Rattus norvegicus: one gene and its partner. The protein of the gene in region 1 binds, or shares a complex with, the protein of each later gene. Links are inferred from orthologs where the notes say so. Each region holds a gene or a part of one and is shown on either strand. Other genes may lie near its edges. The genes, in order: Fmn2 and Spire1.

Region 1 (4,458 bases):
GGGATCCCTTGGAGACCAGGATATTACCCTGGCACAGTTATTATTAAAGCTGAGTTCTTCAAAGTGTTTACTCAAAAAGGCCACCTAAGGACAACAATCCACCTGCCCCAGCAAACACTTGTTTTAAAGATCATAGTTTAAGAAAGGCTAGTAATCACTGTCTGGATTTTCCAACAAGGAGTAACATTTTTTACAAATGCTACTTATGGTTTTTTGTTTGTTTGTTTATTTTGTTTTGTTTTTGTTTTTTTGTTTTTGCTTTTATTGTTTGCAGCCTTTTAAAATACTAATGATGCTGTAAGATGTTTAACAAAAACTGTAGTTTAGTGTCATTAAAATATAAAGACAACAGTTCACAGTAAGAATAAGTGTTTAATATCTAGGTCTGAAACTTAGGGAGCTCTGGTCCTGGACAAAGTGTGCTTGGACGGACCTTCGAGAAAAGTGGCCATCCTTTATAGCACAATGTCTAATTTCCTGGGTTTGTACCGAGGGCATTTTTTTTTCTTTTTCCTTTTTATACGGGATCGGGTTATGACACGTTTAATATTGATGAGTTTGACCTCCTGGGAGTTATAATACATGCGCCCCTTTTAAATACAAATGTCTGATTTATATGGTAAACGCACAGAATTTTGGAGATTAGCATTTTAATCAGCTTTAATCTCAGTATTTCCAGCATCCCCTACCTCTCTTTTCTCTGTCCAGAAAGGTCTCACAAACCCACTTTGGAAAGGACAGTTAATGTCCTGTTCTTGAAGAGGCTTGTGTATCAGGCACAGAGCCTAGGGAAGGAACCTTGCCCTAAGTAGCATACTCACAAACCTTAGAGTGTGCAAAGCGATGGTCAAGTATTTAAAAGACAGAACAGTCCGTCCATTCAACAAGTATTTGAACTGGAGCCATGCAGAAGTAGGCAGACTCTGTGTGTGTGTGTGTGTGTGTGTGTGTGTGTGTGTGTGTGTGTGTGTGTGTGTGTGTGTTTCTGATGATACGGTACTTCTGACCTGGAATTGGGCTTCGATTTTTCGTGTGTGTGCGTGTGTGTGTGTGTGTGTGTGTGTGTGTGTGTGTTTATTTTCTTCTTCTCTTTTTGCATGTCTGCGAGCTTTGAACTTTCATAAAAATATTCCAATATATCAGTTCTTGAAAAGAGGGCAACATGTTTTATTTTCAAGGTGGAGATTAAGGTCCCAGAGATAACCTGTCAGAAAGATTCTAAGTTCGATCTAGTCTGGGCTACTTAAAGATAGCTCCTGCTGCCCCCCACCCCCACTCCCAATTATGAAGTCCTAGAGATAGACGATTTTTTTTTCCTGCTTGGTTGCAGGAGGAGCCAAAGGGGGCACTGAGGGGGCGGCGGCGGTGGGCGGGGAGCCAGGCCAAGGCTGAGTCCTGTGCAGCCATTGGTGGGGAGTGCGCGCTGAACTGAGCATGTTCGCGCCCGCCAGCCAGGGCCGCAGCCACAGCCGCAGGGACGGCAGCCGGGAGAGCCACCGCGCATTATGCAAAGCGGCAGCAGATGTGAGCGGGGCCAGCTGGGCGCTCCTCGGCCTCCCCTCCCAACGGCCGGCCCAGCTGCCTGAATTGTCCCGGACACTCCCCTGGCCCTCTCCAGGGCCGAGATGGCCTGAGGACCCCAAGGCGCGGCGGCGCAGCAGTGGGGTTCAAACATGGGGAACCAGGATGGGAAGCTGAAGAGAAGCGCAGGTGATGCCTCTCACGAAGGCGGCGGCGGCGGAGCCGAGGATGCCGCGGGGCCCAGGGATGCGGAAACCACAAAGAAGGCGAGCGGGAGCAAAAAGGCGCTCGGCAAGCACGGCAAGGGGGGAGGGGGCAGCGGGGAGACCAGCAAGAAGAAGAGCAAGTCGGATTCTAGAGCCTCGGTGTTTTCCAACCTGCGGATCAGAAAAAATCTGGGCAAGGGGAAAGGTGCCGGCGACTCGCGGGAGGATGTGCTGGACTCTCAGGCCCTGCCGATCGGGGAGCTGGACAGCGCTCACTCTATAGTCACCAAGACCCCGGACCTCAGCCTCTCTGCTGAAGAGACGGGCCTATCGGATACCGAGTGTGCTGACCCTTTCGAGGTGATCCATCCAGGTGGTTCTAGGCCTGCCGAGGCTGGGGTAGGGATCCAGGCGATCGCCGAGGATTTGGAAACTGCGGCTGGAGCGCAAGATGGACAAAGGACCAGTTCTGGTTCGGACACGGACATCTACAGCTTTCACTCCGCAACGGAGCAGGAGGATTTGCTCTCAGACATCCAGCAGGCAATTCGCCTGCAGCAGCAACAGCAGCAGCAGCAGAAGCTGCTGCTCCAGGACTCCGAGGAGCCTGCAGCGCCCCCCACTGCCATCTCCCCTCAGCCTGGGGCCTTTCTGGGCCTGGACCAGTTCTTGCTGGGAACTAGCAGCGAGGCTAAAAAGGACACCGTACAGGCACCACCGGTGAGACCTGACTTGCCTGAGACCACCAAGTCTCTGGTGCCTGAGCATCCTCCGTCCTCCGGAAGCCACTTGGCCTCTGAGACACCGGGCTATGCGACCGCCCACTCCGCAGTCACAGACACGCTCTCTTCACCAGCCTTCACCTTTCCTGAGGTTCCTGAGGCTGGGCCAGGGGAGGGCGCCGCCGGAGTCCCCCCAGCTGGAACTGGGGACACAGATGAGGAGTGCGAGGAAGATGCTTTTGAAGATGCTCCCCGGGGCTCTCCAGGGGAGGAATGGGCCCCAGAGGTGGAAGAAGCCTCACAGAGACTGGAGGAAGAGCCGGAGGAGGGGATGAGAGGACCCATTATCCCCGCAGTCGCTTCTTTGCCTGGCAGCCCTGCGCCCAGTCCACGCTGCTTCAAACCTTACCCACTCATCACCCCCTGCTACATCAAGACCACCACTCGGCAGCTCAGCTCGCCCAATCATTCCCCATCCCAGTCCCCCAACCAGAGTCCTAGGATCAAAAAGCGACCGGACCCTTCCGTGAGCCGGAGCCCCAGAACTGCCTTGGCCTCAGCTGCGACCCCGGCAAAGAAGCACCGGTTGGAAGGTGGCCTCGTGGGCGGCCTCAGTCGCTCAGCCGACTGGACCGAGGAGCTAGGCGCCCGTACGCCTGGGGCAGGAGGCTCGGTGCACCTGCTGGGACGCGGGGCTACTGCGGATGACAGTGGTGGCGGGTCCCCTGTGCTGGCCGCCAAGGCACCTGGGGCTCCAGCGACGGCTGATGGCTTTCAGAATGTGTTCACAGGTAAGCGCGCCTGCCACGTATCTCCGGGTGGCAGGTCGCCTGCCAATCAGGTCCTTTCTCTACCACCCCGCCCCCTCCACGTTCTGAAAGGCCCTGGCCGGCTTTTTGGAGATCTTAATGTTGCCAGGCACCTTTCCTCAGTTCAAAGCCTTGGGTGTGCTTGGTTCTCTATTCTCTTTTCAGGATAGTGAGGGGGGTGGGGGGATGTAGGTGTCTGTCCAGAGTCGTCTCAGAGAGGACAGTTATGCTCACTGCCACCCCCCCCTCCCCGCGTTCCTCTAAGAATATTAACCCCTTTTGTGGCTTGTTACCTCGGTCATTTTAAAATGTTAAAACTGTGTACAGACCTTCCCAAGGATTTGTATTGCAGGCACACAACAGTTCTTCTAATACATTCTAAAGGTTATGTCTGACTACCTCAAAGATAGTTTCTATCATGTAGTGGTCTGGGTACCCCCCACAGGTAATTTGCGAAGTTAAGTGATAACTCCTTTTTGCTAATGCAAGCAAGTATGATATATGCTCTTAGAAAATGAATAAATAATCAGACCATTAGCAAGGTGTTATTTATTTATGATTCTAAGGATTGAAACTAGGGCCTTTTGCTTGCTAGGCAGGTACTGTACTACTGAGCTATGTCCTCAGATTTTTGAGATCCTTCTTTTTTTTTTGATAAAGGGTTTCACTAAGCTGCCTAGGCAGGCAGGGAACTTGCTGACGACCTGCGAGTCAGTGAGAGAAAGCTGGGATGTGGAAAGATTACAGATGGGCAACTGAAAGCTGGCGGCTCCCACTGGTACTGTCTTCCTTAGGTGACTGACTGCACCTATGATAGGTGCAGTCTGTGGGAGAGACCACAGCCAGCATCAGCTTCCTGGGCTGAAATGCAATCATTATTTCTTCTTGTAGCTGCAAAGCATCTCCTAAGGGGTTCACTGCAGATGTCAGTGGGTTTCCCATTTAACATATTATTTTTGAAGAAGTAATTGAAAGAGCAGAGAGAAAAACAGCAGCATTCGATGCCTGTGCTCATGGGTTTTAGATAAATACATGAAAATTCAATAATTTTAAATGGAAATTAAAATCCGTTATGTTGTTATTATAATAAACATGTTATCATTTAGATGTGTAACAAGTGCCTGCAATCCCAGCACTTGAGAGGCAGGGATGGGAGGCTGGGCAGATGGGTTCGTGGTTGGCTAGAAGCTGTAGTAAATA
Region 2 (4,599 bases), on another chromosome or scaffold:
TCAAAAGTCACACAGGATCCGGACTTTTAAAAAAGCAAAATTTGAGGGTTGGGGATTTAGCTCAGTTGGTAGAGCACTTGCTTAGCAAGCGCAAGGCCCTGGGTTCGGTCCCTAGCTCCGGAAAAAAAAAAAAGCAAAATTTGGCTATGTTGGTATATTAATATATCATATATTATTAATGTTATCATAGTAATCCTAGTATGTATTAATATTATCATAGTAATCCTAGTATGTATTAGTCTCCCACACAGGACTGAGAAAGGCCTCTGCCTCAGAGTTTTGGCACACAAATACTACATTTGTTTTCTTTTACATATTTGTATGTATTGGGTATGTGCACATACACACGGAGTTCAAAGACCAACCACGTGGAGTGGAGTCTCCCCTTCAACTATATGGGCTGCAGCTTGGCAGCAAAGTCCGTTCACCTGCTGAGCCGTCTCACTGGCCCTAAATACTGCATTTTTATATTTGAGATTATGAACCCATAATTAAGTAATTTTTCTTGAAGAGCTTGTTTTATATCTCTTGCCTTGAAAACAAAAGGCGTCCACTGAGTTTTTCCTTAACCGCCAACTTCTAACCCTTAATGACTTTCTACTATAAAATTAACTGTAGGGTGCCATTTCCCACATTCCACATAAAATTGTACCTACTACGATGTTCTTACTTGGTTGATGCTACAACTCTAAGGACTTCGAAGGCTAGCCTGGGTAGAATGTTACCAATTAAAACCATCCATGATTGGATGGACATTTTAAAGAGTTATTAGCTTTAATCGCACACTGGAAGGGGTTCAGAGAGGCCCCTAGAGTTCTTTTGTACTCCAGATAATTGTCCTTAGTTTTGTCTCTGACACCTATTCCTTCTCGAATTCCTTCTGGGTTAACTAGGCTAGGATGAGTGTGGTTATTACCTCAGGGGAGATTGAATCTGTAAGGCCTTGTGCATCACATCTCAGGCCCTGATCTAGGCTTTCGGAGAATTTGGCAAAGCAAGCCTTTGATCGTTGTCCTCACTGAACGTCTGAGTGGAGAGAGTACCAACACTAAAGAAGCATTGAAGAAGTAGCGGGACATGGTGGTTCAAGGCCAGTTTGGTTACCCAGGGAGACTGTTTCAAAATAAATGAATAGGAAAATATATTTAAATAATTTTGCAGATGTGCAGAGAGATAGTATGTGTCAAATGGTCCTGAGAAACAGACGAGTCTCAAAGGACCCAGGGGGCCTGTGCTCGCAGGCCAAAGCTGGAAGCGCTGGGCAGCCAGTGGCGAGGGTGATTCAGATGACCGTTTCTTCTTGATAAATCGCCCCAGATTGAATTCAAGTTCTTAAATAGACTGTGGGAGCCGAACGGGTGACAGCGACTTCGCGGCCAGACGCCTGCAGGACCACGGCTCGGGCCCCAACCTTGCGGTCGCCCCTCGCCGCCCGTCACTCACCTCGGGGGTGACGCCCCCAGGCCGTGCTCAGCCGCGCGTCACTCACATCGGGAGGGGGCGTGACGCCCCCCCAGGTCCTGCTCGGCCGCGCGTCACTCACCTCGGGGGTGACGCCCCCAGGCCCTGCTCGGCCGCGCGTCATTCACATCGGGGGTGACGCCCCCAGGCACTGCTCCGCTGCGCGGCCCCCAAGAAGGGGCGGGGCGAGGCGAGACGGGGCGGGGCTAGTGGACGCCATCGCCGTGCTACCGGCCGGCTGCGTGCTGGTCAGCACCGAGCGCCGCGGTGTCCCCGCCTAGTCCCCGCGGCGGCGCGCAGCCGGCCTGGGCGGCGGCAGCCCGGGATGCGGAGGCGGCGGCTCGTAGAGACGATGCTCCAGCGCTGAGGAGACGCGGCAGCCGAGCGCCGGCGGCGCAGCGACGTGGGCCGCATGGCGCAGCCCTCAAGCCCGGGCGGCGAGGGGCCGCAGCTCGGCGCGACAGGGGACCCGCGCGACGCGCTGAGCTTGGAAGAGATCCTGCGGCTCTACAACCAGCCCATCAACGAGGAGCAGGCGTGGGCCGTGTGCTTCCAGTGCTGCGGCTCCCTGCGCGCCGCCGCCCGCCGCCAGCCCCACCGCCGCGTGCGCTCGGCCGCGCAGATCCGCGTCTGGAGGGACGGCGCCGTCACCCTGGCGCCCGCCGCGGACGAGGAGGGAGAGCCGCCCCCTGCCTCCGGTGAGGTCGCGGCCCGATGCCCCCGGCCCGGTGGGAAGCTGGCGGGCGGCTCCCGGAGGGCGGGCGGGGCTGCGGGACCCGGGTTCCCGGGAGGCTCTGTGCGTGTCCGCCGGCCTCGGCTGTTTACCGGGGGCTGAGGTGGGGGTGGGGTGGGGTGGCGAGGGCTCCGGAGATGCATGTGTGAGGTTCGGTCAGGAAGATGACATCCTTGGGAAAAGGAGCTGGCCCTTCGTAGCGTTTTGAATTTGTCAGTAGTCCTTGGAAATGGTAGGGAAACCACTGAACCCCCAAGAATTGTGCTATTTTGGAGAGAAATAGAAGAAATGAGGACTCCGGGTACCCTGTGTGAAAATTCGCTGTGGTGAAAAGTACAGGTTTATAAGAAGTAAACAGGCTGTTTAGATGAAATTGCTTTTGGTTAGTCCGCGTACATTCTTCATGACTTGTCACCTAAACAGTGACACATTACCAGGAGCTTACTCACATGCTTTATTGATGGGAAGACTAGTAATAGGTTTCCCCTATCCGGTTTTATCTAATTCATTCTTTGAGAAGCAAGTCTATTCAAAACATAGCAAAACAATCCACCTTCACCTTTAGAAAGTTGATGGAAGTGTCAAAATGCTCAAGGATGGAAAATGTAATTAGAATAGTCTGTAAAACGACATTTCGTGAAAATCCTTTTCTAAATTGAGGGAAACGTTCAGTATTATCAGCCCTACTAGAATATTCTCTCATTTTTAGTTCAAGTAAACATAGTTTTGTTTATTTATTTAAAGCCAGCCATTGGGATGTATTAATAACCTCAATGTTGCACTATTTCAGAATACCGTGTGACGTTTTCATACACGTGTACCTCGAATGATATTTAAAGCCGACCTTTTGATGATCTTTTTGAATCTTTTTTCTCCCTTCAAACAAACATTTTTTCTTTTATTTGATCTGTTGCTTGATTTTAGACCTTGGCCTTAGTAGATTACAGTTTCAGTTGTAACTTATTTATAAGATGCCATGAAAAGATAATTTTTTTCCCCCAAACAACGAGGCTTTGTCTTGGTCCAGAACTCTTTCCAAAGGAGAGAGTGTGTGCGACCTCGCTTCAGAAGAATCTTTGGTTCTATTGAAAGAGCAGGCCTGGTTGTATGGTGTATCAAGAACTGTTAAGGAACTTGATCCCAGAAATGTTTTGACTGTCAAAGACCGATAGATTCTTTGTGGGTGATTCTTCTAACTGTTGTTGTTGGAACGATGAGGAACGATGAAATGAGTGCATCATTAATATTGGGTGTAATACATTTTGCAGAGAATAATAAATAGATGATTCCCAGAAACTAATGAATTTTTTAAAACGTATTTTTAAATGTCTATATATTGTTAATTGAGTGCATCTTGTGGCGGAGCACTTGCCTCAAGGCATGTGCAGCCAGAGGACAATGTCGCCACACCTGTTCTCCTACCTTTAAACGGGTTCTGGGGGTCAGACTTGGGTTGCCAAGTTTGTGAGGCAAGCCTTTTACTCACTGAGCCATCTCACCAGGCCTTTATTTTACATTTAATTTTCCTTTTTGGGGGACTAAGTCTCCTGTACTCCAGCAGAAGCTGTTCTTGAACTCCTGGTTCTTCTGTCTTCACCTCACAAATGCTAGGATCATTGGCATGGACCTCCACACCCTACTTTGTAATGGATTTAACCATCTTCTGTCTCCTATCCAACTCATGATCTCTGCTGCCAGATACCAAGAGAACCTAATCAGAGTAGTTGGTACAGTCTGGAACATCTCAGGGCTTGTTGGTTAAAGCATTAGAGATGGGGGCAGGAGAAAGAATAGAATAAAAATACATTTATGAGAAAGTTTTTAATAGAAATATTTAGGGTTGTTCATTGTCAATGTAATAATAGTTTATTTCATCCTGGGATGTAATACTGGGTCCTTGGTTGTAGAAAATACATTAGTTTTAAACATTTAATGTTGAATTTTGTTTAAGACAGGGTCCTCTATAGCCTGAGTGGGCCCCAGACATTTTCGTGGAGCAGAGGCTGACCTTGAACTCTTTGATCTTCTTGTCTACAACTTCCTAAGTCCAACTACTGGGCTGCAGATGTGTACAATTAATTCTAGCTTTAAATTTGCTCTTAAAATGTGGTTAGTAATGTCTATTATGGTTGTCTGCATAGATTCTCTCTCTCTCTCTCTTTTAAGATTTATTTATTTTATGTATATTAATACACTGTCACTATCTTCAGACACACCAGAATAGGCATCAGATCCCATTACAGATGGTTGTGGGCCACCATGTGGTTGCTGGGAATTGAACTCAGGACCTCTGGAAGAACAGTCAGTGCTCTTAACCACTGAGCCATCTCTCCAGCCCGAATCTTTCTCAAGAAAGAAAAAAGTGATTAAAAAGTAGTTTGATACTTGATACTGGGTACATTTCT

The links.
Region 2: the proteins of Fmn2 (region 1) and Spire1 are in contact, whole or in part, in a crystal structure (PDB 2YLE), measured with the Homo sapiens proteins. The link is inferred for Rattus norvegicus from reciprocal best matches to the Homo sapiens genes FMN2 and SPIRE1. Residues at the interface, in NP_064450.3 of Homo sapiens: Ser1702, Leu1703, Lys1705, Ile1706, Lys1707, Pro1708, Arg1709, His1710, Gly1713, Ile1714, Lys1715, Lys1717, Ile1718, Lys1721, Thr1722; in NP_001122098.1 of Homo sapiens: Gln51, Pro52, Ile53, Asn54, Glu127, Ile131, Tyr134, Lys135, Asp138, Leu141, Lys142, Glu143, Asn144, Glu145, Glu146, Arg147, Glu148, Glu154, Ile157, Asp158, Ala161, Asn162, Thr163, Val164, Glu165.

The regions. Positions count from the first base shown.
Region 1 is NC_086031.1:88,985,402-88,989,859, forward strand, and holds the start of Fmn2 (formin 2), read left to right. Parts: upstream 1-1,461; 5' UTR 1,462-1,673; coding exon 1,674-3,240; intron 3,241-4,458. UniProt on the Homo sapiens protein: Actin-binding protein that is involved in actin cytoskeleton assembly and reorganization. Acts as an actin nucleation factor and promotes assembly of actin filaments together with SPIRE1 and SPIRE2.
Region 2 is NC_086036.1:63,438,605-63,443,203, reverse strand, and holds the start of Spire1 (protein spire homolog 1), read left to right. Parts: upstream 1-1,669; 5' UTR 1,670-1,873; coding exon 1,874-2,159; intron 2,160-4,599.